Linked DNA regions of Sus scrofa. The protein of the gene in region 1 purifies or fractionates together with the protein of each later gene. This does not show direct contact. Links are inferred from orthologs where the notes say so. Each region holds a gene or a part of one and is shown in the gene's direction. Other genes may lie near its edges. The genes, in order: SIKE1, PPP2CA, STK24, STRIP2, STRN4 and STRIP1.

What was found.
Region 2: the proteins of SIKE1 (region 1) and PPP2CA purify together in Homo sapiens (affinity purification with mass spectrometry; 4 studies listed by BioGRID and IntAct, with this or other methods). This does not show direct contact. The link is inferred for Sus scrofa from reciprocal best matches to the Homo sapiens genes SIKE1 and PPP2CA.
Region 3: the proteins of SIKE1 (region 1) and STK24 purify together in Homo sapiens (affinity purification with mass spectrometry; 4 studies listed by BioGRID and IntAct, with this or other methods). This does not show direct contact. The link is inferred for Sus scrofa from reciprocal best matches to the Homo sapiens genes SIKE1 and STK24.
Region 4: the proteins of SIKE1 (region 1) and STRIP2 purify together in Homo sapiens (affinity purification with mass spectrometry; 3 studies listed by BioGRID and IntAct, with this or other methods). This does not show direct contact. The link is inferred for Sus scrofa from reciprocal best matches to the Homo sapiens genes SIKE1 and STRIP2.
Region 5: the proteins of SIKE1 (region 1) and STRN4 purify together in Homo sapiens (affinity purification with mass spectrometry; 3 studies listed by BioGRID and IntAct, with this or other methods). This does not show direct contact. The link is inferred for Sus scrofa from reciprocal best matches to the Homo sapiens genes SIKE1 and STRN4.
Region 6: the proteins of SIKE1 (region 1) and STRIP1 purify together in Homo sapiens (affinity purification with mass spectrometry; 3 studies listed by BioGRID and IntAct, with this or other methods). This does not show direct contact. The link is inferred for Sus scrofa from reciprocal best matches to the Homo sapiens genes SIKE1 and STRIP1.

The regions. Positions count from the first base shown.
Region 1 is NC_010446.5:105,777,477-105,783,006, forward strand, and holds the start of SIKE1 (suppressor of IKBKE 1), read left to right. Parts: upstream 1-2,319; 5' UTR 2,320-2,411; coding exon 2,412-2,570; intron 2,571-2,803; coding exon 2,804-2,909; intron 2,910-4,027; coding exon 4,028-4,170; intron 4,171-5,530.
Region 2 is NC_010444.4:136,519,255-136,524,661, reverse strand, and holds the start of PPP2CA (serine/threonine-protein phosphatase 2A catalytic subunit alpha isoform), read left to right. Parts: upstream 1-2,031; 5' UTR 2,032-2,209; coding exon 2,210-2,311; intron 2,312-5,407. UniProt on the Homo sapiens protein: Catalytic subunit of protein phosphatase 2A (PP2A), a serine/threonine phosphatase involved in the regulation of a wide variety of enzymes, signal transduction pathways, and cellular events.
Region 3 is NC_010453.5:67,474,403-67,479,195, reverse strand, and holds part of STK24 (serine/threonine-protein kinase 24), read left to right. Parts: intron 1-1,654; coding exon 1,655-1,763; intron 1,764-2,027; coding exon 2,028-2,185; intron 2,186-4,793. UniProt on the Homo sapiens protein: Serine/threonine-protein kinase that acts on both serine and threonine residues and promotes apoptosis in response to stress stimuli and caspase activation.
Region 4 is NC_010460.4:19,213,538-19,218,330, reverse strand, and holds part of STRIP2 (striatin-interacting protein 2), read left to right. Parts: intron 1-3,059; coding exon 3,060-3,164; intron 3,165-3,994; coding exon 3,995-4,199; intron 4,200-4,793. UniProt on the Homo sapiens protein: Plays a role in the regulation of cell morphology and cytoskeletal organization. Required in the control of cell shape. Calmodulin-binding scaffolding protein which is the center of the striatin-interacting phosphatase and kinase (STRIPAK) complexes.
Region 5 is NC_010448.4:52,606,457-52,611,249, reverse strand, and holds part of STRN4 (striatin-4), read left to right. Parts: intron 1-831; coding exon 832-991; intron 992-1,513; coding exon 1,514-1,627; intron 1,628-1,958; coding exon 1,959-2,074; intron 2,075-3,731; coding exon 3,732-3,907; intron 3,908-4,015; coding exon 4,016-4,063; intron 4,064-4,356; coding exon 4,357-4,478; intron 4,479-4,793. UniProt on the Homo sapiens protein: Calmodulin-binding scaffolding protein which is the center of the striatin-interacting phosphatase and kinase (STRIPAK) complexes.
Region 6 is NC_010446.5:110,077,736-110,083,240, reverse strand, and holds the start of STRIP1 (striatin-interacting protein 1), read left to right. Parts: upstream 1-2,223; 5' UTR 2,224-2,459; coding exon 2,460-2,639; intron 2,640-5,373; coding exon 5,374-5,443; intron 5,444-5,505. UniProt on the Homo sapiens protein: Plays a role in the regulation of cell morphology and cytoskeletal organization. Required in the cortical actin filament dynamics and cell shape. Part of the striatin-interacting phosphatase and kinase (STRIPAK) complexes.

The DNA.
Region 1 (5,530 bases):
GGTTCAATCCCTGGCCTCGCTCGGTGGGTTAGGGATCTGGCCTTGCCATGAGCTGTGGTGTAGGTCAAAGATGCATCTCTGATCTGGTGTTGCTATGGCTCTGGCGTTGGCTGTGGTATAGGCTGGCGGCTACAGCTCTGATTAAACCTCTAGTCTGGGAATCTCCATATGCTGTGAGAGAGGCCCTAGAAAAGACAAAAAAAAAAAAAAAAAGGAACAAGGAATTGAGTTTCCATTGTGGCTCAGCTGATTAAGAAACTGACTAGTATCCATGAGGATGAGAGTTTGATCCCTGGCCTTGCTCAGTGGGTTAAGGATCTGGCATTACCACAAGCTCCTGTGTAGGTCACAGATGTGGCATATGATCCAGCATTGCTGTGGCTGTGATGTAAGCTGGCAGCTGCAGCTTCAATTCAACCCTTAGCCTGGGAACTTCCATATGCTGCAGGTGTGACCCTAAAACCAAAAAATGATAATAATAATTTTAAAAAGAGAAGAGAGTTTGACATACACACTTGACAAGGTAAACTAATAAAGCAATTAACAAACAGCACAAAAGTCATGCTATTCTAGTTAAATTTGTTTTCAATTAATAACTGAATTAAAATTGAAAAAATAGATAAGCAGAAAATAATGACTCCCTCTTACACACATTAAGATGGCTATTAAAACAACAACAATGACAAGAACAGGGAGCACGCTGCTGGTGAAAATGTAAAATGGTGCAGCCACCATGAAAAACAGTATGGTCAATCCTCAAAAATTTTTAAATAGAACTACCATATACCCCCAGCAATTCCACTTCTGGGTATACATTCAAAAGAACTGAAAGGAAAGACTCAAATGGGAGGCTCATACTGAGTGAAGTAACTCAGAAAGAGAACGACAAATACCATATGATATCATTTATATCTGGAATCTAATATATGGCACAAACTAACCTTTCCACAGAAAAGAAAATCATGGATTTGGAGAACAGACTTGTGGTTGCCAAGGAGGAGGGGGAGGGAGTTGGGATGGATTGGGAACTTGGGGTTAATAGATGCAGACTATTGCCTTTGGAATGGATTAGCAGTGAGATCCTGCCGTGTAGCACTGGGAACTATGTCTAGTCACTTACAATGGAGCATGATAATGTGAGAAAAAAGAATCTATATGTGTAGGTGTAACTGGGTCACCATGCTGTACAGTAGAAAATTGACAGAACACTGTAAACCAGCTATAATGAAAAAAATAAAAATCATTGCATATAAAAAAATCAAATGGGTATTTATTACATGTGTTCATAGCAGCATTATTCACAACAGCCAAAAGGTGGAAACAACCCAAGGGTCCATTAATGGGTGAATGGATGAACAAAACATGATATGTACATAAATATAGATGTAAATATAGATATCAGTTAATATTTTTGTCTTTTTTTTTTGTTTTTTTTTTTTGTCTTTTTGCCTTTTCTAGGGCCACTCCCACAGCATATGGAGGTTCCCAGGCTAGGGGTCTAATCAGGGCTGAGAGACCCTGGCCTAGCCAGAGCCACAGCAACTCGGGATCTGAGCCACGGCTGCGGCATACACCACAGCTCACAGGAACACCGGATCCTTAACCCACTAGGCAAGGCCAGGGATCAAACCCGAAACCTCATGGTTCCTAATCGGATTCGTTAACCACTGCGCCCCGACAGGAACTCCCAATATTTTTCAGTCTTAAATGGAAGGAAATTCTGCTGTACATGCATGAAGCTTGAGGACATTATGCTGAGTGAAATAAACCAGTCACGAAAATGACAGTTATGATTTACATGACTCCATTTATAAGTGGTACCTAAAGTAGTCAAATCCATAGACAGAAAATAGAAGAGTAGTTGCCAGGGGGTAGGAGGAAGGCAGAATAGGAAGTTAAAAATTTGACTGCAGAGTTCCAGTTTTGCAAGATGAAAAGAGTTCTGGAGATAGATGGTGATAACTGCACAATTTGAATGCACTTAATACTACTGAACTATGCTTCAAAAATGGTTAAGATGGTAAATTTCATGCATAATTTACCACAGCTTAAAAAAAGAAAATATTTTTAAAAGAATGACGATAACAATACACATTAATCAAAACCACAAAGGAAAGGAGAAACTTGGACTAGCCCAGCCATAACTCAACTTGACCATCAGGCCTTGCAGGAAGCCAAGGGCGAGGCAAGGGGAGGCCTCCGCCACTGGGCACATATAAAGGCTTCGGGGAAACCGCGGCTTAAAGCGGGTCACCAGCTGACCTGGCTCCACTGCGCAAGCGCTATAGGCCATCACCGAGGCGCCTTTAAACGTACCCGGAAGTGACGTCACTAACGCTGAGACAGGCTCAGGACGGATCTGAGAGGTTCCTACAGCTGACCGGCGCTGGGGCTGTGTTCCTGTGGAGGCTATGAGCTGCACCATCGAGAAGATTCTGACCGATGCTAAGACGCTACTGGAGAGGCTGCGGGAGCACGATGCTGCGGCCGAGTCGCTAGTGGACCAGTCCGCGGCGCTGCACCGGCGGGTGGCCGCTATGCGGGAGGCGGGGACAGCCCTTCCGGACCAGGTCAGGCAGAGGGTAGGGGTCCGTGCCCTCGGGTTCTGGGCACTTTAGGGGTGGAGGGTGAGATAAAGTGGGAACGCGACTTGGAATATATTCCTGGTCCCCGAGGGCAGCGGTGAAACCTTTTTGCGGGGTCGGGGATGAGAATGTTACCCTGGAACACTGCCTCCTGCGTCTTCAGTTGCATTTGCGGCTGTCTTGTTTACGGCGCGATTAGTATGTCTCTGTTTGTCCAGTATCAAGAGGATGCATCCGATATAAAGGACATGTCCAAATACAAACCTCACATTCTGCTCTCCCAAGAGAATACACAGATTAGAGACTTGCAGCAGGAAAACAGAGGTTAGTCAGGCCTTTTTGTGTAGTTATGATTTTCTCATATGCAGTAATATTTAAAGAGTTCTTGCAGAACTGACAAACCATTCATAAAGATACACATGCTGTATTGTCCAAGTCAGTACTTTTAACGGGAAAGTTGTCCTGTGCCGGCCCAGTAGCAATAAAATGTGTTACATTCCCTTTTCAAGGTCATATAACTGATTTTTTATTTACAGGCAGCTCATCAGAAAGGTGTGTAGTAGAGTTGAATACTGCATGGCTTATTAGGTGTCCCCAGATGGAGTTAATATGCTTTGTGTGTGTGTCTTTTTGTCTTTTCTAGGGCCGCACCCACGGCATATGGAGGTTCCCAGGCTAGGGGTCTAATTGGAGCTGTAGCCGCCAGCCTACATCACAGCCACAGCAATACCAGATCTGAGCCACGTCTGCTACCTACACCACAGCTCAGGGCAACCAGATCCTTAACCCTCTGAGCAAGGCCAGGGATCGAACCTGCAACTTCATGGTTCCTAGTTGGATTTGTTAACCACTCAGCCAGGAGAGGAACTCCTGGCGTTAATATCCTTAAGGGCTTAAAATTTAATTTTTAAATAATTGAAATAAACATTAAAGTTAAGATCAAAGGGGTTTTTTTATGTTCTTGTGCAAGGCGGAAGAGCTAAGTTTTATCCTCTGGTGTATATTCTTGGGCTTAATGAATACATTGCTAATGGTAGTAGTATGAATAGCTATTTGTATATCAGTTTTCAGAGGGAATTACATATACCATACACTTGTATTCTCATAGCTTTATTTTGAAGTAAACAAGCCAGGTATTTATTATTACAAGGCAGATAAGAAATAGAGGTTAAATGATTTGCTTTAAGAGTAGTAAGCTAATAACTCAAAGAACTGGACTTAAACTTATGTCTTCCAATTCCACATCCCATGACTCTATCAGTTGATGCTGCTTCTGCCTAGACAGATATTTTTCACATAGTTAAGTTTTGGGGACTTCAACACTGATTTACAACTTTGGATTCCTAATATCCCATGGAATGCCATAAACTTCCAACTGTTTGAGTGTGGCTTTAGGAGGTATCTCTCAGACATCACTGCCAAGTTTTTTTATTTTTTGATAGAGCTATGGGTTTCCTTGGAGGAACACCAGGATGCTTTGGAACTCATCATGAGCAAATACCGGAAACAGATGTTACAATTAATGGTTGCTAAAAAAGCAGTGGATGCTGAACCAGTCCTGAAAGCTCACCAGTCTCACTCTGCAGTAAGAAACTTTTGTGAAAAAATTTTAAGGGAACTGCATTTAAATCTTGAAATTGTTTTGGATTGTGTGTTCACTTTTGAAGAAAACTAAGCTGTTTTCCTTTTGTGTTTTATCACATTTGCTGTTGGTTTTAGTATATCTTTGTAAAGATATGAATAAGAAGACTGGGGAAGGTAACATTGTTAATCAACTGTACTTTAATAAAAAAAATTTTTAAAGTAAAAAAAGGTGGGTAAAGAGCTGCTCAGGGCCTTTTATTTGAGTAATTCCAAAGTTCCTCCCTCCCTCACTGAGATCTTGTTTCAAGATGTTAATGAATGCTTCGTTCTTCTACCAGACAGAATGCCAGTTAATGTTGAAGGGGCTCAGTAAATACTTGAGTGGTTATTATTGTATATTTCACTAGACTTTAAGCTCTTTGGTTGTAAGGAGCTTGAATTCCATCTATTATCTCTAACATGGTACCTGGCACATAGCAGGCAGTCTGTAAACTATACAACATCAGTATCTATACTTTAGTTACTTATGATTTAATTTGGGAGACCCAGTAATTATTCTGTTTTCTTAACATTTTCATTTTTTCTGTTATAGTTGATTTACACAGTACTTGCTCATAAGTTTGTGGAGTGTTTCACAGTTCTCATTGTATATTCACATGTACTATATCATTTAATACATGATATAGTATGTATTACTATATCTCACTCTTTGCTGCAGTGGAATTTCTGGAAGATAAGTTTCATCTTAGATTCCACTGAAAACATTTTACTGACTTTAGTTAAAAAACTCAGAGGAAATGGGTGTTTTGGGGGGGTTGTTTTTTTGTTTGTTTGTTTGTCTTTTTGCCTTTTTTAGAGCTGCTCCTGTGGCATATGGAGGTTCCCAGGCTAGGGGTTGAATTGGAGCTGTAGCCACCAGCCTACACCAGAGCCACAGCAACACGGGATCCAAGCTGCATCTGCGACCTACACCACAGCTCAGGGCAATGCCAAATCCTTACCCCACTGAGCAAGGCCAGGGATCGAACCCTCATCCTCATGGTTCCTAGTCAGATTCGTTAATCACTGAGCCACAACGGGAACTCTGAAAATAGGTATTTTAAATATGCAAATGGCTTTCATCTGGACAAAATAATAATCTGTAATCCAGAAGCAAAAACTTGAACCTTGAAGGAGACAGAATTTAGTTTATATTAAAAACTTGCTGGGAGTTCCCTTTGTGGCTTAGGGGTTAACAAACTCAACTAGGATTCATGAGGATGTGGGTTCGATCCTTGGCCTCACTCGGCATTGCTGTGGCTCTGGTGTAGCTTGGCAGCTGAAGCTCCGATTGGACCCCTAGCCTGGGAATTTCCATATGC
Region 2 (5,407 bases), on another chromosome or scaffold:
TGCCAGATCTGAGCCACATCTGCAACCTTGACCACAGCTCACAGCAACGCTGGATCCTTAACCCACTGAGCAGAGCCAGGGATTGAACCTGCATCCTCATGGATACTAGTCGGGTTCAATACCACTGAGCTGCAATGGGAACTCCAAAGCAGCTTATCTTGAATGAAGGAGAACTTTCAGTCCTGCCAGTAGCTGATCTCTGCATCCAGGGCCACCTTCAGCCTTTTGGTCAAGATGATGCCCTCAGGGCTGGAGGGTGTGTGCTCTTCTCCAGCACATTGCCAAGTGCTTGGGTTGACTGGTATTGAGGGTAGAGTCTAAAAGAGAGGGACCAGGTTCAGTTCTTGCCTTGTACTTCATGGTTTAATGTCCTTTGGAAAACTTCCATCTCTGAGATTCTGTGGACACTGTCATGGCTAAAAACCACAAGCAACATGTCTATGTGTTAAATATATCACTGTTTAGTCTGTTGCTGAAGGACTTCTGGTTTGTTTCCAATTTTTGGTATAACAAACATCACTGCTAGAAACATCCTTATACTTATCTCCTGAAGTCCATGTGCAAAACTTTCTCTAGGGAAAACAACAAGGAGAAGAAGAGCTGGGCATGGGTTGTGCCCATCTACACCTTAACTAGATAATGCCAGATTTTCCAAAGTGGTTGTCCCAAAGTACAGCAGTGTATAAGAGACCCCATTGCTCCACATCCTCACCAACATTGGATGTTGACAGTTTTTGCCAAATGGGTGAGAGTCAAACCTGGAATCTGTGGTTTTCATTTCCCTGCTTACTACCCTTGTGTTACTGGCCATTCATCTTCCTGCTTTTGTGAAGGGCTCTTCTGCCTGTCTATCCCCAGATCATCCCAGGAAGTACACAAGCTCCGTCAGGGTAGGGTACCTCTGTTTGTATGACCCTTCTGTCCTTCGGGCATGAATCTTGAACATAACTGGCGGTGTACGGAGCCAAATATTTCTGCGAATGCAAGGACAACGGAATGCGGATACATTTCACGAATCTCGAAGAGATTTATAGCCAGAGGTCCGATCCTAGGGTATCTGAGCTTTCTTTAAAGCGCACATCACAGCCGCTTCTAACACTACCGGGTCTCAATCAGGACCGGTGCGTCCATCTCCTTGCGGTCTTCCCTCTAGAAAGAAGGCCTGAGTGGGCAGACGGTTGGTGGGGGTGGGGTCGGGGGCGTTTTCTTCTTCCCTTGGAGGCTCGGAGTCGGAGGAAAGCGCCCACCTAGGGGGGAAGGCCACAATGGCAAGACTGCAGCGGCGCCTGTGGAAGCCAGGAGCGCTAGGAGGCCCCAGCCATGGCGCTAGAAGAGACATCGAGGCCCGGGGACAGGTGTGTTGGGGAGTCAGGTGCACTGCGCAGTACTGCAGGTACACCCTCTTCCGCCTACGACTGACCTAATTACAAGGTGCTGGCCGCACCCGGAGGCAGGGGTGGCTACTCCAACCTGGCTACCACTCGGCGCCTGTTCCTGCTCCCAAGATGCAGCAATTCCAGTGCTGTTGTAGAATGGAGGAGCCACGGGGCCCAATTCTCGTTTCCGTGCTTTGGCAGTCGCCAGGTGAGGAGCCGAGGCGTATCACCTCAGGGAAAAAGTCTCCGGCAACAAGGAGCCACCCTCGCACCCCGGCTGCGCCTGCGCCTGGTCCGCAACTACACCCTGCAGGATTTAGTGCTCTAAGATTAGCCCACTTCCCAGCTATAAGCAAGGCCCCTGCTTGGACTCGGTCTTCCCTTCCCCCTCGGCCCCTCCCTTCTACAGGACCGCGCCCTAAAAGCGAAGGTGCCTGTTTCCAGCCGGCTACTTTACGCGCCTGCGCCCTGGCCCCTAGTTCCCGCCCCCGCTCGGGTCTGGCCGCAGATGAGAGCCGGCCCGGCAGTTGCGCAGCTCGTATCCCGGCGCTTCTACCCCTCCTCACCCCGCCACCTCCTGACGCCGGGCGTGACGTCACCACGCCGGCGGCCGCCATTACAGAGCCGAGCTCCAAGGCTAGAGCGAGCGGAGGAGGTCAGTGGCCGGTAGCCGAACACCGAGGGGCGAGTCAACCGGGCAGCGCTACTGCCGAGCAGCCTTCAGCAGCCACACAAGTACCCCGGGGGCCGACGGCAGCGTGTGCGTGTGGCCCGTGTGCGGGCGGCGGCGCGGGAGTAGCGCGGAGCGGCAGCCGGTTCGGGCGGGTGGCATCATGGACGAGAAGGTGTTCACTAAGGAGCTGGACCAGTGGATCGAGCAGCTGAATGAGTGCAAGCAGCTGTCCGAGTCCCAGGTCAAGAGCCTCTGCGAGAAGGTGAGCTGCACTCCGGCTTCGGGAGCCGGGGCGGGCCGAGCCCGCCGAGAAGGAAGCGGCCGCGGGGAGGGTGCAACATGGCGGAGGCCAGCGGCCCCGGCCCCCGAGCCTCCCAGACCGGCCCCCGGCGCGGCCCGGCGGCGGCTCCCGGACGACCCGGCGCCCCCTGCCTCCCGCGCAGGGATTGGTTGTCGCTGCCACCGCCGCCTAAAATGGCGCCGTTCACCCGACTCCGGGGCTTCAGAGCTTCCCGGCCTTGGCTGGAAGCGAAGTGGCTGGGGGAGGGTGCGGGGGAGCGGAGACCCTGCGAGTAAGGGTCAGGGACGGTTTTGATATCTGGGCACGAGGTCTTAGGTTCTACGGCCTGGGAATGGGGCCTGGGACTCTTCTGTGAGTTTGGTGGGAGGTTTCTTACTTGTACTCAGGCCGAATGCTTAGGTCCAGAGCTGTCCAGAGGGTCCCCCAGAGGCAAGCTTGTAGGCCGGATCCCGGGACCTATCTAATAAAGGTCACGCAGATTTAGCATCGTCTTGAGTGGTTTATGGTAAACCTCTCGAGCTGTGTTTTCCAGAGACTTATTAGTACATTTTTTCGAGAATTTTTAAATGAGCTTTTAATCTAAGTTTCAATGAAGGTCATGGTGGTAGTTATAGGGAGGAGTATAACTTATTTTTCATAGTTGGAAGAATTAGACATTTTGGTGAGTCATTCTACATAGGAGCTTTGGGATTGGAAATCAAGTGTCAGTTTAATCTCTGATTTATATGCTGACTCAAATTGGATAGTATGAAACCCTTCTTTAAGCTTAAGGTTCTTGGCATTTTGCCATTTGTTTTTTAAATGAGCAGCATAAACTGTTAAGACCAGCAGATTTTGTATCCTTGCTCTCTGCTGGAAAAGTTGTTAGTATATTTGTGACTTTAAGTAGTAAGTATGATATTAACAGCTGTTGATCGAGCTTTTGCTGTATTCCAGTCATTGTGTTTAGTGTTTAAATCCCACAAACGTTTAAAATGGAATGTTGTAGTCTGTTTTAGAAGTCCATTTTAAATGACCTAATTCTGATTTGTTTTTCCCAAGGAGTTGGGGAAACAGGTAGCCTGTTTAAGTCTTATAATTCAGTTTTCTAAAGTAGAGAAAATGCTGATCTCCACCATGAATGTTTCAACTTCTCTTTTTAAAAATAACTCTGCAGCATCTTTAGTTCCACAGAATGGTGGAGTATCATCAACATTTTGTATTAGTGAAGAGAGTTATTAGAAAGCAATTACGCTGACTCGTTTGTGGTTTGATGTGAAAATTAGATTCGTAAATTTGACATATACGCTCCTAAAACAGGCTTTTTCAGAAACTCTTCTGTGAATTACTGCAATTTAAGTAAGTCTAATTCAGATTTGTTTATCCCAAGCCTCAACAAAACTTCTAGTTGATGAGGTGGCACATCATCTCTTGGAGCTGAATTTTAATACTGGCAATGTAGAGCCTTTTGTTGCTTCTTGATCCTTAATTCTTTTACATCAGATGAAAATGACATTTGTTTAAAGTTTTGGAAGTGGGCTTTTAAAAATTGTTTAATGTATAGTGTTAGGTCTTAGTTTTTGGATACTGTAAGTGATGATTTTAAAGATTTTTAGAGTTGAGTACTTAACTCTATATAAAGACTTTGAGTCAGCAGTTGGCTAGATGACTAGTTATTTGTGTAGCAAACATTGCAACAGAGTAATGATGTGGTTGGAAGACCACTGGACTGTGAGTTAGACCTGGACACTGGTCCTTTTTCTGCCACCAAGTAATTGTGACCTTGAGGCAATCACTTCACTTGGTCCACATTTTCTTGTCTATAGAGTTAAAACATGTTCCAGGGTTCCTTCTAATCATTTGAGATTATACAATTGCATTTTAAAATAGTACTCTGTATTTAAATATTGAACACTTATTGGATATCCAAGATTGCTTACTTTTATGAGAGGAGTGAAAAGCAATGAAAAATAATCATGCTTATTTTTAAGGATCTTGAATCTGGTTGGAAGTCTGTAGTAGATAGACCACAGAAGTAAAGGGTCTGTGTTGGAGACAGCAGAAGATATTGGAATTATGGTGGGGGGACTGAAGCTTGATCCCCTTGGTAAATATTGTTTGCTATGTCTCTGTAATATCAAGATGGAGTGAGATTAATCAGTTTATGTTTAAATCCCCATTGCTCATCCACTGTATAAAGATTTTAATTCTTGGAGCATATATATATATATATATATATCTTTGATGCTAGATTTTCAAGACATGGGTCCTTTTGGAGGTTGTCACATAGCCTTCATACTGTTTTTAATTTGTAAGTATTCCGTCTTTGGGAACTGTATTAACCTTCCAAAATAAATTAACTTGAAGGCAGTTTTTTAGGTATAGTAAGTCTTTCTAGTGAAACAAAAGTTCTCTTTTCACTATTAATATTTGTGTGGCCAATAGCACAACTGGCAAAACCTGTATATTTTGAAAATCTTGAGTGGAAAACCTTTTTTCATTAGTGTAATAATTAGCGTAATTATTTTTCTTTTTAAAGAAAAGATATTTGGTGGAGGTAGATATTTGGAAATAGTTGATAATTTCTTTGATTATAAGAAAGTATATTTATAGACCAGGGTGAATAGGGTTTTTATGTTATTAACTATGTAAGTTTTTTCCCCACAAGATGTGACTAAGGTCTGTATCAAAGCCAAGGTTGTTGTGTGTGCAGTATACCTTGTCATTTTTGGGGATCATAATTTGTTGATTGTTTAAAAATTTGTGATGAGTGAAGCAGTTTTGTCTGTAGGCACAGTTCTGTAGTCAGTGAGGTTAGTGCATCTGTGTATCTAGACTGGTATGTTTCTATCTCCTGATTGGAAGAATAAGTAGTATCCACTTGCTTTTACATTAACTGTATTACAAGTCTTTTGTTAGGATCAGCAGTGGTTTCATTTAGGTATGATTTTTGGCCTTGTGTTTTCAGGTCTTACCAAACTTGTGGAGAATGTTGTTTGATAGCCAGGTGTTTTGTTTTGTTTTGTTTTCCAGAGGAGTTCTTTACTTATGTAGGTATGCTGTTTTCCACTGCTGTGC
Region 3 (4,793 bases), on another chromosome or scaffold:
TCTATACATAGAACTACCACATGACCCAGCAATCCCACTCTTGGGCATATATCCGGACGAAACTTTCTTTGAAAAAGACACCTGCACCCTCATGTTCACTGCAGCTCTATTCACAATAGCCAAGACATGGAAACAACCCAAATGTCCATCCACAGATGACTAGATTAGGAAGATGTGGTGTATATATATATATACACAATGGAATACTACTCAGCCATAAAAAGAACAACATAATGGCATTTGCAGCAACATGGATGGAACTAGAGACTCTCATCCTGAGTGAAGTAAGTCAGAGAAAGACAAATACCACATTGTATCACTTATATCTGGAATCTAATATACAGCACAAATGAACCTTTCCACAGAAAAGAAAATCATGGACTTGGAGTATAGACTTGTGGTTGCTGAGGGGGAGGGCGGGGAGTGGGATGGTTGGGGTGCTTGGGGTTAACAGATGCAGACTTCTGCCTTTGGAATGGATTAGCAATGAGCTCCAGCCGTGTACCACTGGGAACTATGTCTGGTCACTTATGATGGAGCATGAGAATGGGAGAAAATAGAATGTGTACATGTATGTGTAACTGGGTCACCTTGCTGTACAGTAGGAAATTGACAAAACACTGCAAACCAACTATAATGGAAAAAAAAAAATCAGTATATTAAAAAAAAAATCTGGTTCTCGAAAACTAACACCTGTGTTCTAGGATGAGAGAGCCAGAAGCTAACGCGTCTCAGAAGCTCTTCCTCCTGAATCGAAACTCTTCCCTGGACCATTCGGGGCACTTTCAAAAAAAAAACAAAACAAAACAAACAAACAAAAAAACCCATGAAATTCTCATTTTAAGAAACTGTGGTAAAATACACACAAAACTTACCCTGCATGACCTTTAGTGTATTCACGGTGTGCATTCATCGCTCCCATCTAGGTCTAGAACTTTCCATCACCCAAAAGGAATCCAACTAGGAACCATGACGTTGTGGGTTCGATCCCTGGCCTTGCTCAGTGGGTTAAGGGATCCGGCATTGCCGTGAGCTGTGGTGTTAGGTCGCAGACCTGGCTTGGATCCCAAGTTGCTGTGGCTCTGGCGTAGGCTGGTGGCAATAGCTCTGATTAGACCCCTAGCCTGGGAACCTCCATATGCTGTGGGTGCAGCCTTAAAAAGCACCAAAAAAAAAAGAAAGAAAATTCAGATTTAAAAATTTCTGGTGCCGGGTAGCCTCAGAAAACAGCTCTTGGACTTTCTCCATTTAACCACCCGTTAGTTACCACGCTAGGGCGGAGCCCGGCTGCCCTGTGCCCTCCCCAGCAGATGCTGCAAGGGGCCCTGCTTCTGCTCTCCGGGCTAGCGGCCCCCCCCCCCACCCCGCCCCAGCTCTGCTCACAGACACATCGGGCTGACCACGGCCTGTCTCACCAGCCCGGCTTGGACGCTCAGTCGGCTTTGCTTCTTTCATCAAAGTCATTTTCTCTGGTTCTCTGGGGATTTTTTTTAGGGTCTTTTAAATAGATTTTAATTGTTTGGGCAAAATGTTTTGGAGTGCAAGAGCTTTCAGATTTTGATTATTGTTGTCCATTTAACATTGACTTTGTTCTATTCTCTCAGACTTTTCTTCTAATCATTTAAGTAACCTGAATCCTTTTTTTTCTTGTCAGTTAGAACCTGGCCCTTTAGATGAAACTCAGATTGCTACCATATTAAGAGAAATACTGAAAGGACTTGATTATTTGCATTCAGAGAAGAAAATCCACAGAGACATTAAAGGTAAAAGAACACAGCTTGTTTGTGTCCCTTTGAAATGCCGAAGGCGAAGGTGGGTGGGAATGGTCGTCTTACCTGCGCTGCTCTCTCAAGGGTTGTCGTCCTGAGGGCGGTCTGCGATTGCGAGGGGAGGGGGCGCCCCGCGGGGGTCTAACTGAAAGCAGTTCTTGTCCAGCAGTGGTGTCGCTGTGCACACGCTCCCCCCGTGCTGGAGATGGAACTTCCGGCACATGATGTCAGGGGGCGTCTTTGGCTTTATTTTTGCAGCTGCCAATGTCCTGCTGTCTGAACACGGGGAGGTGAAGCTGGCCGACTTTGGCGTGGCAGGCCAGCTGACCGACACCCAGATAAAGAGAAACACCTTCGTGGGCACCCCTTTCTGGATGGCGCCCGAAGTCATCAAGCAGTCAGCCTACGACTCAAAGGTGAGGACGAGAGTTCCCTTGTGGCTCAGTGGGTTAAGAACCTGACATAGTGTCTGTAAGAATGCAGGTTTGCTTCCTGGCCTCAACTCGGTGGGTTAAGCATCCGGCATTGCTGCAAGCTGTGGTGTAGATCGCAGATGCGGCTCGGATCCCGTGTTGCTATGGCTGTGGCACAGGCCGGCAGTTGCAGCTCTGATTCGACCCCTAACCCGGGAACTCCCATGGGCCACGGGTGTGTGTGTGGCTGTTAAAAAAAAGAAGAAGAAATGTGCGGTCAGGAGCCTCAGCTGGCTGGGTCTGGGAGTGGTCCTCTGGACTTGAACTTCAGGGCTTGTCCTGGTGGGGGAAGCCAGGGCCTTGTCGTAGGTCACGAGGGCAGTTCGTGGGCTACGGTTAGAAACAGGGTTCTTCTGTCTGCTGCCGTCTCCGGCACCCCTTTATGCAACCAGCCCCCCGTTCCAGTGTCTGAAGGAGGGACACGGAGGAGCAGCGGGTGGAGGCCGGGGGACGGGGTGGCCCGGCCGGTGGGGGTGTCCAGCAGAGGCATGTGGGGGCGCGGGGAGGCCAGGAGGAGGGGATGGGGCAGAGGGCCTCAGCAGGACCCTGGCCAGGCACAGGCAGGGTCCCTCGGGAGAGGCGGCGTCCACAGAACACCAGGCAGACCCTTCCTGTCGGCCAGTGTAGCGCCCAGTTGGGATCGTCATTCTCAGAGGCTCTGTGCCGACTTGAGGCCAAATCGTGATTCTTTTCCCAGCCTCTTCCTCCTGTCGTGTTGTACGCTCCCATTTCTCCTGTGTTCTTGCCTCCGTTGCCTGTCAGCGTTCTTAAGCTTTTTGGTATAAACTTGAAAAGCCCGCGAACCCGCCTCCCGCAGGCCGCTCTCGGCGCGGGACGGCGGGAGGATCCCCACGGCCCCAGAGAACAGGCTTCTCCAAACCAGGGCTTGTAAGCAAACCTCTGACTCGGTGTGCTGACAGCCGAGCATCATTTCTGCTCTCGAAGAGGAAATCTCCTTACCTGGCAGGTTCCCACCTTGTTAAATGTAGCATGCGGAGCACAGGTAGGTTTTCCTGGGCACCCGAGGTCGGCGTGTGAGCTGATGGCGCTGGTGGCCTGGCCCCCTCATGTTGAGGTGTGGGGACAGCAGCGTGTCTGGCCTGGGCCTGCCTTGCCCCGTGGGGTGGCTCTCCCCGTAGCTACTTCCAATTGTGGCAGCCACGGGCCCCTCCTTCCCTGGGGTTGTGTCATTTTAGGGTGTGACAGGGGCTCATGTGTTTGGTCCACTCTGTTTTAAGCTGAGGCCCATGTGTCTGAGTTCCGGCATCTGGATTTTGGCTGGGCTGTGACGGGACCCCAGGAGTCGTCCCTCATCTGATGGCAGCCGCACTGAGGCCGCTCCTCCATTCTGGTCACTTAGCTGATCCGCCACCGCCGCTGCAGCGCAGCACTCAGATGCTGGGTTTTCAGCGACACTCATCCCTTGCTCAGGAACGGTCCCCGAGGCCTCCCCAGCCCCGCTGGGGCCTCTCCGGGTGTCCGCCCAAGGCGGCCTCTGAGCAGCAGAGCCTCCTCTGCACCTTCCCCAGCTGTGGTCAGGACCACATGCGCTCCCGTGTGGCGGGTAACGGTGCCTCCTCTGCACCTTCCCCCGCTGTGGTCCGGACCACAGCGCTCCCGTGTGGCGGGTAACGGTGCGGCCTTCCTTTTAGGTCGATGGCAAGACGCGTCTCAAACGGGGCAGGGTGCAGCTCGGGTGGGCAGCTTGAGGAAACGCATCATGTTGCTTGTTCACCCTCAAGTCCATTACCTTGAACTCTGGCTCACGGCAAAAGCTAGTGATTCACTGGCTTGGGTCAGACACAGCAGCTCTTAGCCGGAGCTCACCTGGGAAACTGCGAAATTTGCTTCCCAGGTTTGTGGACACAGGAGGTGTGGGAAGCATGGAGAAGGCTGAGTCGGGAGGTTCGTCAGCGGCCGGGCCTGAGGGCTGCCGTGCCCCCAGCCTAGCAGCTCTCGTCGTGCGCACTGGCTGGTGGAGGGTGGGCGCTGCCCGTCTCCTGACTCACACACCTGCTCAGCTTCTCTCCTGTCCCCCGTGTTCTTTCCGGACGGTTCCCCCCGGTCTGTGTGTTACAGGTCAAGAGCTTGAGCCCTGGGCCCCTGGGGAGGCCGCGTGCTCCGCTCAGTTGCAGCTCCAGGAAGGTGGGCTGGGCCGAGGCTGGTGTGTTCCTCTCCCTGAACTAAGGGGATGTAGGCCTTGGTCTCGGTGATCAGCTGGACCCTGTGACACAGTCGCCTCTGGAACCGTGGGCCCCTTGTCAACTGTCCAGGCTGCTTGGTTCTGAGCGTGTTTGCATGTACAGGGCCGTCTCTGTTCCTGATCTGACACAGTGTCTCTAAGTCGTGCTGGCCACCTGCCTTGGGCACCTTCATCATCCTTATTATCTTTAAGGTGACCTGGCTTGGCTCCAGAAGTCCCCAGACTATGCAGACAGTGCCCCAGGTGAGAGCGCTTCCTGCCCCCGGGAAGCTGAGGCTCAGGGAGGGACCGGGCCAGTCTGAAGACTGCCGTCCTTGCTGCCTCTCTGTGTAAGGGCATCGGGATGCT
Region 4 (4,793 bases), on another chromosome or scaffold:
TTTACATGGTAAAATTTAAATGTTCACAATATCATTTTATTAAACATTCCTGAGAACATAATTTTTAATAGCTACACATAATATTCCACTACTTTTTTTTTGCCACACCCAAGGCATGTAGACATTCCCAGGCCAGGGATCACCCCTGAACCACAACAGCAATCCAGGTCATTGCAGTGACAATGCCAGATCCTTAACCTGATGTGCCACAAGGAAACCCCCCCCACTACTTAATTTCTTTTTAAAGATTGTTTTCTACTATTATTGGGCATTTATTTCAGTGTTCTTCGTATCCAAAATGAATATACTCGTACCTCATTTCTGATTATTTCCTTAAGATAAATTCCTTGAAGTGGAATTATTTGGCTAAGGTAATCTCGATTCATATTTTTTCAGTTTTCTGAATTTGAACTGAGTTCAACTTCATTTGGCACTCCAACTACACATATAATGGACATGAAATAAAGGCAGAGTTAATGGCATGTTAATTTCTAAAGTGTTCTCATTTTGTCAAAATATTTCTCTCTCCAGTAGGCCATCTTTACTCATGTGCTGAATAGTTTCCTCACCTACCTGACATAGGAAGTCTCACAATTTTCCAAAAGTCTATATTCCAAATTCAACCCACTAAAAAGACATTAAATTTAAATTCCAAACATAAGAGAAGGATGATGAGTATATGATTGTATGGAAGTTAGGTATGGCCTTTGGAAGGAGGTTGCTAAAGAGGCAGTGGGTGTGGCCTTAGCAAGTACTGTAGGAAGCTCAGCCTCCTCTGGGTGGTTGTTTAGAGCAGTGGTATGAGAAGTAGGATGTGCAACACGATGCTTTAGGGGTGGAATATATTAGATCTTCTATGTGTATTAATATCCTTTTTTCTATATTTCTGTGCACTTTATAATATACATCATGTTGCTACAACAATCCGTTTATAATTTATAAATAAACACACATTGTATTTAGGAGTCACTGAGTATCAGAGCTAGAAGTTTCTTAGTGTCTTGCCCAATCTCATCCTCTAGTGGTAAGGCAATAGATGGAGTGGTGAAGTGTTGTCCAAAGCATTGGGTCAGAATTTGCATGACCCAGCCATTTGCAAAGAAATGTTTGGAATATCCTCTTATATCTAGGCAAGTGAAATTATTAAGTTAGTTTTTAAAAGGCAGTTCATTATAAAATTTCTTAAATTTGGATTTGATTTATATCTAGAAAGACCTATAAAAATATGTTCATATCACTTAAATTTATATAACTGATCCTTTCATCTCTTATTAAATTTAATTTTTATAACTTCCTAAATCAGGTAATACAGATAATCCCAGAAGTTTTTTGGGTTTTTTTTTTTTGCCTTTTAGGGCTGCACCTGTGGCATATGGAAGTTCCCAGGCTAGGGGTGGAATTGGAACTGTAGCCACTGACCTACACCACAGCCACCTCGACGCCAGATCCAAGCAGTGTCTGCAACCTACACCACAGCTCATGGCAACTCTGGATCCTTAACCCACTGAGTGAGGCCAGAGATTGAACCCACAACCTCATGGATCCTAGTTGGGTTCGTTAACCCCTGAGCCACGATAGGAATTCCAATCCCAGAAGATTTTTGTTATTTATTTATTTATTTATTTATTTGCTCTTTTTGCCTCTTCTAGTGCCGCACCTGAGGCATATGGAGGTTTCCAGGCTGGGGTCCAATCGGAGCTGTAGCTGCTGGCCTACGCCAGAGCCAAGGCAACGCCAGATCCGAGCTGTTTATGTGACCTACACCACAGCTCATGGCAATGCTGGATCCTTAACCCACTGAGCAAGGCCAGGGATCGAACCTACAACCTCATGGTTCCTAGTTGGATTCGTGAACCGCTGAGTCATGACGGGAACTCTGATTTTTGTTATGTTTTGATTTTGCTTTTCTTTTTTTCTTTTTCTTTCTTTCTTTCTTTTTTTTTTTTTTTTTTTTTTTTTTGTTTAAGGCTGCACCTGCAGCATGTGGAAGTTCACAGGCTAGGGGTCAAACTGGAGCTGCAGCTGCCAGCCTATACCACAGGCAGAGCAACATGGGATCTGAACCGCATCTGCGACCTATACCACAGCTCACAGCAACGCCACATCCTTAACCCACTGAGCCAGGCCAGGGATGGAACCCGCATCTTCATGAATACTCGTCGGGTTTGTAACCCACTAAGTCACAACAGGAACTCCTGTTCATTCCATAATTGATGTGTGTTTGTCTTGGTTACTTCAAATTAACTTGGGAGAGGAGGGAGTAATCTTCCATTTACTAGATAGCAGCTCACTTCTGCACGTCTCCCACACCTTCATTCTCCATTCACATGGTAGACACGAGGAATTTTCAAGAAGTTAGTTTGACCACCATGTGCGCTCATTGATTTGTATAGCTTCTGACACCAGTGTATAGTTACAGTCCCCAAAACCCATAAAGACTCTTATTTTCGTTCCTGAAAGATGTTCCTATGAGCAGATACCTGTTTCTGATCTGACATCCATCTGTTATCACTGGTTGGGTGCTCACAAACTATCAAGAAACATTCAAGAGAACCACCTGGTTTGAATTAACCATGTGCCATTTTTCCTTCCATGCCAGAGAATTAAGCTAAATTGCTTAATGTGCAATTGCTTAAACTGCAACGTGGTTTGATAAAGGAGGGTGGAGACTGATTTTAAAAAAATAAACTGTAATGAATATCAGATCCATCCAATATAGTTTGAAATCTACCAGAATAACTCCTAGCAGTTACAGACATAAGCTTTCCTAAAGCAAAAAGCTATACAAGAAAGCTTGCTTAAATGAAGTTCCTGTGTTCATATATCATCTTTCTCTAGTACTTACTCTAGGTACAGAGTCTTCCAGAATTGGCAGCTGTGTGTTTTCAGATGAAGGATATTACATGCTTTGAAGCCTCGGTGTGTGAGAAACAGGATGGAAAGGAGGTAGCATTTCATATGGAAGGTCTCACCTAAACTGACCAACAGTGACCTCCAGATTTCTGTGGGAATGAAAGCCTTGTAGGTGTTGAGATAATGATGAACATGCCTTATTACAGGAAGCTGGAGACAACAACCAGTTCTGCTGGAGGAATCTCTTTTCCTGCATCAACCTTCTGAGGCTGCTCAATAAACTGACCAAATGGAAGCATTCCAGAACCATGGTGAGTGGAACTTCAGATCACGGTGTCCACCTGACTGAATTTTCTTTATCTTTAGTAAATATGGACTTCCTGCTTTGTCTATAGATAGACACTGAATGCTCTGTAAGATTTAGCACCTCCTAATTCTGGGCACTTATTCTACATGAGATAATTATTAAATGGTCCATTTCTTTTCAGGGAACTTAATATGATCTCTCCTTCAGAGCAGCTCTGGTGGGGAAGTTGGGATTATCTTTTAGATTATAGTACATATCCCAAATGATACAAGCCTAAGATTATTCATTACAGCATTATTTATAATCATGAAAGATTGGAAACAACCTAAATGTTCATTAATATGTGACCAACTGGTTAAATATGGTACATCCTTGTAATGGAATATTAATACAACCATTAAAAAGAATGAAGCAGTTCTATACTGCTATGGAATAGTTTTCAAGAAATATTGTTAAATAAAAATCAAGATACGGAACAATGTGGAAGGATATGTAGTTGCTATCATTTTTGTTAATAAAATAATATATGCGTACACAAAATTATCTCCAGAAGATACGTAGGAAACTGGTAACAATGGAAATGGGATGTGTGGCTGACTAACTTCTTCGGCACTTTGAATATTAGAAATTTTGAATTATGGAATATAAATAGAGTGGATCCTCTCTGTTCTTATGACCAAGCGTAAGTGGAGCTTGGACCACAGATTTCCCAAAACTTACCAGGGTAGTCTGAGGTTAACAAGGTTTGGCTTAATTTGTCTGTGAGGTGGAAATTCCAAGAAACTTTAGACACTTATCTATCTTTCTTCACTCCCACCCTCTTTAAATGGGCAGATGCTGGTAGTGTTTAAATCTGCTCCAATCTTAAAGCGGGCTCTCAAGGTCAAACAGGCCATGCTGCAACTTTATGTCCTGAAGCTGCTCAAAATACAGACCAAGTACCTGGGGCGCCAGTGGAGGAAAAGCAACATGAAAACCATGTCAGCCATTTACCAGAAAGTACGCCACCGCATGAATGATGACTGGGCTTATGGGAATGGTGAGTTTTCTCAGGGCTTTTGCCCAGGGTTTAAACAGAACTAAATAAACATTTGCTACTCTTTTGGTATGAATTGTTACATGTTTTAGATGAGAAAATATGTGATTATATTCAGGTACTGATAAAAAAAAAAACCTTAAAGCACTGCCCCAGATTCTAGCACTTACCTTGTCCTATGTATACTATGAAAATCCACTTTATGGAGTTCCTGCTGTGGCTCAGCCGGTTAAGACGACATAGCATCTGTGAGGATGTAGGTTCTATCCCTGGCCTTGCTCAGGGGGTTAGGATTCTGGCATGTCCACAAGCTGTAGCGTAGGTTGCAGATGCGTCTTGGTTCTGGTATTGCTGTGGCTGTGGTATAGACCACAGCTGCAACTCCAGTTTGACGCCTAGCCTGGGAACTTTCATATGCCACAGTTACAGCCTTAAAAAGAAAAAAATTCATTTTATAAAACAAGTAAATTGAGGGATAATTATCCTTTTCCAAAACATTCCTCTAAGTGACAGGTCTCTTCAAGAGATTTTTAAAACTAAAATAATCTTTTATTATTACAAAGCAATTAGAAAATACAAGTAAGCAAACATTTTAAA
Region 5 (4,793 bases), on another chromosome or scaffold:
TAAAAGAAATGGCTTGGACCTTGCGACCTGGGGCAAGGGCTGCACTCTGTTCAGCCTCCGTTTCCTCATCTGTAATATGGGACCAGTGATTACCATAATGGGAGTTCCCGATGTGGCTCAGGGTAACAAATCTGACTAGTACCCATGAGGATGCCGGTTCAGTCCCTGGCCTCACTCGGTAGATTAAGGATCCTGTGTTGCTCTGGCTGTGGTGTAGGCCGGCAGCTGTATCTCTGATTCTCCTCCTAGCCTGGGAACCTCCATATGCCATGGGTGTGGCCTCAAAAAGACGAAAGAAATTATAATAATGATAACTATTCATGGGGTTGTGAAATCACGGATGTGACGCGTAGAGGCTGACCCAGAGGGGAAGGGGCTCCTTCCTGGTACTCTCGTACCTGTGGATCTGTTCAGTGAATCCAATCTGGCTTTGAGTGTGCACCTCCTTCCCTCACTTAGGCCCATAGACACAAACAAACATTCTCTCTCACCCCTGAAAGAGGTGGTCGTATTAGCTGACGTTATTTCGGAAGTACCGTGCTGAGCGTGGGGGGCAGCGGGAGCCCGAGCAGCCCAAGAAGAAGCCAGCAGGACGGCCCTATGGGTGTGGGGGTCACAGCTGGGGGCAGAGGCAGAAGGCGCCCCACCCCAGCCAGTGAGGAGCAGGCTAGTCAAGTGCCCAGCAGGGGGTGCTCGGCGTCCGAGTGCGGGGCTGGGGCTGGACGCTGCCAGGCGGCCCAGGCCAGAAACCCTTGCTTCTCTGTTCCCAGAACCTGGGGGCTTGGGCTCTAGGCAAGAGCCCCTGACCTCTGCTTGGTGTTCACGCCCCAGCTGCCGTCCAAGGCCCTGGTACCTGAAATGGAGGATGAAGACGAAGAGGATGACTCAGAGGATGCCATCAACGAATTTGATTTCCTGGGCTCCGGGGAGGACGGGGAGGGCTCTCCAGACCCTCGGCGGTGCGCTGGAGAGGGCACCCACCATGAACTGGGTGAGTTGAGACTTTTCTGGCCGGCCTTCCTTCACCGCGGGCACATGGCCACAGGCAGCTGCTTCCTGCCCCAAGGGCTCCACCGGACGGATACGCTTCCTGAGAGGAAGGCCAAGGGGAGCGGGAGGCCTGTGCCCCTTCCCTGGAAAATCCCCGTGGGGACCAGGCAGGCCTCTTCCTGAGGCAGGGCCTCTAGCCCTCCACTCGGGCGGCCCGTTCTTGGTGGACCTCAGGGACAGGATGCAGAGCCAGAGTGGGGGGGCCAGATGGGCAGTGCTGCTGCTGCTTCCTGTCCTGTGACTCGGAGCCACGAGGCCCTCGGGGGTCACGTAGGATGGCTGGGGACTGAGGCCCCGGCAAGGGCGGCCATGGAGGGCCCCATCTCGGTCTGTCCCTCACCCTGGGTGCCGGGCTTCCTAGCCACCCCTGGTTGCAGGAGAGGCTTCCGGCAGTGGGGAGAGAGTCACCTGCACGTGGCTCGTTGACCTGGTCGGTGACTCCTGCCCCACCTCATCCCTGCAGAAAGTCGGCGGGTCAAACTCCAGGGAATTTTGGCCGACCTTCGGGATGTGGATGGGCTGCCCCCCAAAGTGACAGGCCCACCGCCTGGCACACCCCAGCCCCGGCCACACGAAGGTAAGAGGCTGCTCCACCCCGGCCCAGTCCTGAGGGGCCCATGGCAGAGGGAGGCTGCAGAGCTGAGCCCAGGGCTCCTGTGTCCTCAGGGTCGAGGCCCGACCTCTAGTCTGCAGCCTCCCTGTCCCAAACGTTCGTCTGTCTGTCTCTGTCTCCCTCTCTTTTTGTCTGTCCTGCCCTGTCTGTCTGTCTCTGTCTCTTTCTTTCCAGCTGTGATTCTTGATCTGGTCCTCTGCCTGTCTCTCCTCCTCACTCCTGATGGCTCTGCCTCTCTCTGGCTCTCTCTCGCTCTCCCTGCCCGCTCTGCCCCGCCCCGCCCCACCCCTACCAGGTTCCTTTGGCTTCTCCTCAGACGTTTTCATCATGGACACTATCGGGGGCGGGGAGGTGAGCCTGGGGGACTTGGCAGATCTCACCGTCACCAACGACAACGACCTCAGCTGCGATGTAAGTTCTCAGGGTGCCCCACCCCCCGCAGGCCCCGGTCAGGTGTCCCGCGCGGTGCGGGACCTGCTGGGCTCCGACGGTGTCCGCCTGCGCTCAGCCCCTCCCCCGTGACAGAGGAGGATGTGAGAGCGTTTGACGGCTCATCCTGTCTTCACAGAGGGGTGCCCGTGCAGACAGGTGGTGGGACTTGACCGTGGTCACTGGTGTGGCTCTGGAGCCTGTGCTTTAATCATGCTGCCAGGCTTCTCCTCTCAGCAAAGCTGCCTCCCACCCCGGCTTCCATGCACCGCAAGTCCAGGACCTGCCATGGGCAGGAGGCGGGAGCCAAGGGGGCGCTGAGTCAACATCCGGTGTCAGAGTTGAAAGGGGCTTGCGGGGGGCAGTAGTGCAAGTGAAAGCATCTGTGCAGGAGGTGGGACTGAGCTGGCTTTGGAGGGGAAGGTGACCTCAGGCCACAAAACCAAAGCTCAGGCCAGTCTGGGATGCGTGAGGCCCTCGGGGCCATGGGCTGGAAGCAAAGGAGACCTTAGGGCCGGTGTCCTGGGCCTGAGACGGTGCAAGGCCTCTGGCTGGCCAGGAGTCTCTGACGTGGGTCTGCGTGAGCACGCTCCCGTGGCAGGACCTGCAGTGGGATTGCCTGCCCGGTGATCCCAGCAAGGCTGGGGCGCTGCTGGGGCTGTTGGAAGTGAGGCCTGAGCGCTGCAGCCCTACCCCGGGCAGCCTGCGCGAGGGGCTAGACCCTCCAGCCCTCAACAGCTGTGGCAGAAGTGAGGACTTTGAGAAAGAGCGCAGATGAAGGGGTTCAGCAGGCGTGTACCCCGTCTTGGTGCAGGGCCCCGAGGCTCCCCTGAAAATCTGCTCATTTCCTGAGTGGCCCTCCCCGGGTCGCCCACCTGGAGAGCGACCCCATCCGCCAGGGCCCGCAGGACGCCTCTGGGCCTTGCTCCCCGAGGCCCACTGAGCCTGCTCCCCAGTCTCTCCCCATGAGCGTGCTTGTCCCCGTCTCACTCCCCAGCGTCTGGTCCCTGCTTCACATCTCCTGGGGAGACTTCCCTCGGGACCTTTCTGCCTCCCTCTCTTCCCCAGCTGAGCTCCCCGCAGGGCAGCTGGAGAAATCTGTACCATTTCCCTCTCTGATCCCTTCCACCATGCCCCGCCGCTTAGGATGAGATGCGGAGGGCGGCCCTGTCTATCTCCTGACCGCTCCTGCTGCCTCTGCCTCGGGAACTTTGCACATGCAGTTTCGGTCCTCCTCCCCCCTCTTATCTGGTGAAGTCCTGCTTGTTTGTCACTTCCTTGGGAAAGCCGCATGGAGCCCCGCAGAGGAGAGGAGGGGGCTGCCTGGGACCCCTCTCGGTGCATTTGTAATCCTGCAGAGACCTCTCCTTGTCTCCGCCAGGCTCCCTCTATGAGTCGTGAGATCCCCAGGGATCAGAGTCACCTCTGTCTCCCCAGGAGCTAGCCCAGTCCTGCACAGTGCAGGAACTTGCTGCGTGAGCGAGGGGACACTGCGGGCCAGGAGGGAGGGGCAGGGGTCCCCGGCTGGAGGCCAGTCCGTGGGGTGCTCCACATGGGGCTGGCAGGGGGAGGGACGACTTCTCGAGGTCCCAGTGTCTGGGCTGGATGAGCAGATGCTGAGGCATTGCCCCCACCCCAGCTGTCTGACAGCAAAGATGCCTTCAAGAAGACCTGGAACCCCAAATTCACCCTCCGTTCACACTACGATGGCATCCGCTCCCTGGCTTTCCACCACAGCCAGTCAGCTTTGCTTACCGCCTCCGAGGACGGCACGCTCAAGCTCTGGAACCTGCAGAAGGCGGTCACGGCCAAGAAGTGAGAGCAGCAGCCCCGGCGTGGAGGGGTGTGGCGGGGGCATCTGGGCGCAGGGAGCAGGGTGACGAGCGGCTCCCAGTGACAGCTGGCTCCTCCGTCTCCCCACAGGAATGCTGCGCTAGACGTGGAACCTATCCACGCCTTCCGGGCTCACAGGTAGGGAGTGGCCCCCAAAGGCAGCCTGGCTTCTGGCGCTCTGCAGACTCTTTCACCTCCGTAGCCGCTTCTCAGCACAGTCTTCGAAGGAGGAAACAGACTCAGGACTTGGGGGAAGGCAGGGCACAGGCAGCCTGCCGGGGGGCGGCGGGGGGAGGCACAACCAGAGGTCCAGGTGCTGGGTTCTGTTTGTTTGGCCATCTTTGAAAAATGCTAGTGGAGCCCCTCGAGGTCCCGTGGGGGCTGGGGGAGGAGTTTGGCATCTCCTGCTTCCCCTCCTCGGTATCCTCCAGGGGGCCCGTGCTGGCGGTAGCCATGGGCAGCAGCAGCGAGCACTGTTACAGTGGCGGGGCAGATGCCCGCATCCACAGCTGGAAGATTCCAGACCTCAACATGGACCCCTACGACGGTTACGGTGAGGACAGCTCCTCCCACTGCCTTCCTTCCCCTCACCCAGCTGCCGCTGCCGGGGGCCTGATGCTGTGGGAACTGGGGCGGGAGCGCCAGGGCTCCGGGTCTGGTAGAGGGTGGGACAAGGGGCTTCAGCACGTGACCGAGGATGGACTGGATGAGGCAGGAGTGGTGGCGGTGGGGGAGGGTTGCGCAGAGATGCTGATCGGGGTTGAGCTTCGGGGCCGGGGACCAGCCCAGGCCAAGGCGTGGGGAGGCTGGCAGCACTGGATGCTCAGCCCTGTCTGCATGCCTGAGCAGAGGAGTCAGCGGGGAGAGG
Region 6 (5,505 bases), about 4.3 Mb from region 1:
ACTCAGCATTGGTCCTTTTCTTGCAAATTCCCTAGTTTTTCCTATTAGCTTGGCCCAGCCCAGCTTGGATGAAATGCTAACTTATAAAGTAAATCACTGGATTTAAGAAACAGAGGCAAAGTACTGGAAGATAGGAGGAAGTAGCAACACAGCAGATTCGGATTTATTCTTTATTTTGTAATAAGACTTTTAAAGCACCTACTAGGTGGATTCTTGGCAGATTTTTTTTTTTTTTTTTTTTGTCTTTTTATGGCGGCACTCATGGCATATGGAGGTTCCCAGGCTAGAGGTCGAATCAGAGCTGTAGCCGCCAGCCTACACCACAGCAACGCGGGATCCAAGCTGCATCTGTGACCTACACCACAGCTCACGGCAACACTGGATCCTTGACCCACTAGGCAAGGCCAAGGATCAAACCCCCAACCTCATGGTTCCTAGTTGGATTCATTAACCACTGAGCCATAACGGGAACTCCAGAAATCCTGAAAGAGTTGAATCCCAGTGATTTACTGAGTTGAGCTGGGAGTGTGGAGCAGCCAAGATGTAGTTGGGGAGAGACAAAGATGAATAAAATGCCTTTAAGGATCTCACAACATAGCAACAGGTGATCCTTACATATCACCTCTAAGATGTCAAATGGGTCTCATATATGACATGTCCAAAACAGACATCTTGATCTTCTCCCTAAACCTGCTTTCCTTTCTCCCAGCCTCTCTATTTTAATAAGTAATACTAAGCCTTTTTTTTTTTTTTAAATAAGCTATATAAGCATCTACCCAGTTGGTCAAGCCAGAAATCTAGGACTCATCCATCATTCCTCTCTATCTGGCTGATAGTAGTCCAGCCTTTCAGCAAATCCTGTTGAGTTTACCTACACAGTATAGAAATACCATGTCAAACCACTGCTCCATCCTGATATAAGCCATCATCATTTCCATTTATATAGTCTCCTAACCTGTGTGTCCTCACCTACTCTTGCAATTTCTCAATCCCTCTCCAAAAGCGGCCAGACTGGTCTTTTCAACATCAGACCATGACACCTGCCTGGTAAACACTTTTTGATGGTTTTCCATTTCCCGTAGGATAAAATCCAAAGTCCTGTCAGTGCTTTTCAAGGCCCTCTAATTCTCTGGCCCTTGCATTTACCCAGCCCTCATCTCCTACTATTCTTCCCCTGTTTCTCTCATTTTGTACCACACCACTTTAGAGCCTCTGCAGTTAGCTGGTCCCTCTGCCTGTGTTTCTTCCGTGGATCTGGGTGGCTCTCCCTCACTTGTTTCAGAACTCATTCAAAATCTCACCCTTGAAGTTCCCGTCGTGGCGCAGTGGTTAATGAATCCGACTAAGAACCATGAGGTTGCAGGTTCGATCCCTGCCCTTGCTCAGTGGGTTAACAATCCAGCGTTGCCTGAGCTGTGGTGTGCGTTGCAGACGCGGCTCGGATCCCGCGTTGTTGTGGCTCTGGTGTAGGCCGGTGGCTACAGCTCCGATTCGACCCCTAGACTCCTGGGAACCTCCAGGTGCCACGGGAAGCGGCCCTAGAAATGGCAAAAAGACAAAAAAAACGAAAACAAAATCTCACCCTCAGGCCTGCCTTTCTTAAGCAGCCTACCTATTATAGCCCTGCCACACTTCCCCGCCCCTATTACTACCACCTTTGAATCCTTTGTACTTCTTTTTTCCCCTTAATTAAAAATTTTATTTATTTGTTTGTTTATGTAGGCCACAGCTACCGGCATGCGGAATTTCCTAGGCCAGAGAAAATCGAACGGGAGCCACAGCAGTGACAAAGCCAAGTCCTTAACTGCTAGGCCACCAGGGAACTCCCCCTTACACTTCTTTTTGTTTCTTCTCAGAGCTTACTTGTCTAATCTGTTTGTTTGTGTGCACATCGTCTCTCCCACTAGACACTGTGTTATGTACCGTTAGTGCAGGCATTTGATTTCGTTCCTCATTCTATCACATGCTTGGAGCATACCAGATATCCATTAAATGTCTAATGAATAAGTGATTAATGAATGCCATAACTGTAATTGTTTTATTGATTTATTCATTTTTTTCGCACCTCTCCCCCCATGGAAACGCCATGAAGACTGGAATTGTGTCCATTTTGTTCATATCTCCAAAGCTTTGAACAGGGCTGTAACAGTGACAAGCGCAAAGAGATGGTGAAGGCAGGAGTTGGGCAGGCCTAAACTGACTTAAGGGGTTTATGGGCTACGCAGATAAAAAGACCTCTAAACTGGGACCCACACAGAGTAAAAACCAAAGGGGCAGAGGAGGATAGGAAGGCAAATAGAAGAAATATCGCGAACTGTTGGGCAGCCAAGATGGCTTCCGGCACTTGCCGCCACACTTAATATGGCGATCAGGGAGCGTTCCGGGAGGAAATCACGCGAGAGTTTCATCGCAGCAACTGTCGTTGAACTGAGCCGAGCCGGGGGTGTGGAGCAGCCAAGATGGAGCCGGCACTCGGCGGTCCCGGTCCTCTAATCATGAACAACAAGCAGCCCCAGCCGCCTCCACCTCCGCCGCCCGCAGTCGCGCAGCCTCCGCCTGGGGCACCGCGGGCCGGCGGGGGCCTCCTGCCCGGGGGCAAAGCCCGAGAGTTCAACCGCAACCAGCGCAAAGACTCGGAGGTAGGAGCTTCGGGGGGCGAGGTTCGAACCAGGCGGGCGGAGGCTCTGGGGCCGGGGTCGCTCTCGGGTTCAAGCTGGGCCGGGTTCGGCAGAGGAGGTTTTGTTTGTTTGTTTGCTTGTTTAACAGCGAAAGGAGCAGGACGCAAAGCTGGCATCCCCGGGGCGGGAGACTTGAAACCGGGGTCCCCCTCCCCGAGTTCCGCCGCCAGGTAGAACCCTTCTGGAGCCTATGTCCGCTCTTAGGCTCCTCTGCGGCCGGGGCTGTGGGCGAGGCCTCTGGGGATTCCATCCCCTGCCCCCAGTTCAAGGGTGAAGAGTCAGTGGTCTGCGTGCGCTCCAGAGGGCAGCGCGGCTACACCCCCAACCCCCTAATCGTCTCTGGCTTCTGGTCCCGCGGGTTCCGCAGCGCAAGGCGGCGAAGGGTGTGTGTGGGCAGGGAAGAGACTGGCGAGGGTTTGGAAGGCACCTCGAAGACGGACTGAGCTAATTAGCACCGATGTACTGTGCGCCGAGGTGGGGAGAGAAGGAGGGAGAAACAGTCCTGTCCACTCTGACCTTAGCCACTGCAGGTTCGGGCCATGGTTTGACAATGCCTGGTGGTTGGTGTGCCCAGTGCGCCCGATGCTGACCTATTAAAGATGAAAAATATGTTTATCTAAACACGCGTTAGGAAGCCGCTTTCCCTCCGTTCTTGCTAGTGGGTTGTTCCCCCCCTTTCGGAGACACCGTAGTTTGGAGCTCACCCCGCATTAAAGAATTACACTCCCATTGCCTCCCATCGCAGAATTCATGAATGAAGACACACACGTCGCAGCGTTTCAGGCTTCTTAATCAGCACATTGCCAGCGCCCTTACTGTGAGGGCTCCTTCACCTGAGACGACTCCGAGGCTGATTAGCAGTCAGGTGCTTATTATTATTATTAATGAGAGGGAATTCTGCATTGTCCAGGCATAAGGTACCAGTTCATTGCAGAGTGCTGATGCCGTCTTTGGGCCTGTGAAATCAGTTCCTCTCAAGCTCTTGGGTGTTGTTGCATGAGCAATCTTCTGGTAAAACATCAAAATTTGGCAAGTTCCAGTCAGATACACTTTGAGCTTGAGGTGAGTTATTTGAAAAGGCAATGAAACTGACCTTTTAGTAGCCCTGGCATGGTGGGCTGATTGGACGTCAGTGGGGACTTCCTAATAATTTTTCAAGGATGGAGGATTTTGAAAGTGGTAATGAATAATCCACCTTCATCAGAAGAGGAGTTCTAGTGTGGGGTTTGTTTTTGTTTTTTCCTTTTTATAGCCACACCTGTGGCCTATGGAAGTTCCCAGGCCAGGGGTTGAATCCGAGCTGCAGATGCATGCCTCCATCACAGCCACAGCAATGCAGGATCTGAGCCAGATCTGCGACCTATGCCACAGGTTGCAGCAACGCCCCATCCTTAGCCCAGTGAGTGAGGCCGGGGATCGAGATCGAACCTGCATCCTCATGAATACTATGAGTTCTTAACCCACCAAGCCACAACAAGCACTCCCCCTAGTTTTTAAATAGTTAAAAAATTTCCTAAGTGGCCATTAAATGCACTTTGATGGATTCGAATTTTTCTTTCTAACCTTTAATTTCCATGTAGACTCAACACATACAAGGTTAGTGAACACATTTAAGCTGAGGGACCTGTCTAAATCTGTTTCTTACAGATATTAATGCCACTCTTTGTTGTGTCTTAGCTGAAATCAGTAGGCTGGGAACCTGAGGGGTGCCTGCAGGACCCGGGGGGAGGCATTTGATGGGAGCCCACTGTGTGCTACACAATTTTGATTAGTCCTTAAAAAAACCTTCATGATAGATTTTTTTGTCATCCTCATTCCATAAATGAAGAAACTGAAGCTCAGTAACTTATGAAAGAACATGCACTCTTTGGCCCCAATAAGGAGTTCTTCGTGTTAGTCAGTGTTTGTGGGTGTTTTACATCATTTTCGAGTGGTCTTTATCTTCCCAGGTCAATTGTAATCAAGCCTGAGGACTGCCTTTTTCTTCATCTCTTCTCTTTTCCCGGAACATGGCTTCCAAGATGGTGTGTTGTCAGCTAGTGACCTATCCCCAGCAGTAAAAAGATTCTCTTTGTCACCTCCTCTCCCGCGTGTGGGAGGAAGGAGCCATTTCTGTTCAGCTGCTGTCTTCTCCGTCAGTTCTCACTGAAATTTGAGAGAAGGGCAGGAGGGCTGAGGGTGTGTATACTCATATAGTCCTGAGCTATGGATAGGTCACTAGCTAGAAGGAATGACGCTTCCAAAATCTGAGCACCATGTGGGATGGTCATTTCACCGCACAGATTACACGGAAGCTTTAGTGTTCATTCCTCCAACAAGTAGTTATTTGGGTGTGAACTATTCATTCAGTCCGTTGTTCATGCCCAGTAGGATGCTGGGCATTGTGGACTCATTGGTGAGCAAAATGGACAAAGTTCTTGCTCTTAAGGAATCTGCAGTCTCATGGAGAAGCAGACACTAAACGAATACACATGTGCATTTATAATTATGAGTTAGGATAAATGCTGTGAAGTAGTACAGGTTGTTCTGAGAGGGAGACCTGAGCTAGCCCAGGGGACAAAATATTGTGATAAGGCATCAGCAAAGTGAAGGTAGTGACATCCTGTAACACAGCAGGGTCTCTGGAAGCATATGTGTTCATTCCTTTGGAAAACACTCACGGTGATCTTTTGCATGACTCGCCTTTCCTCACCAGGGCTATTCCGAGTCTCCAGACCTCGAGTTTGAGTATGCTGACACAGACAAGTGGGCTGCAGAGCTCTCAGGTAAAGCACAGGCCTTCTTATTATTAGGGGTGCTTTCTTGCCTTGTCAGTCTTTAATAGAAT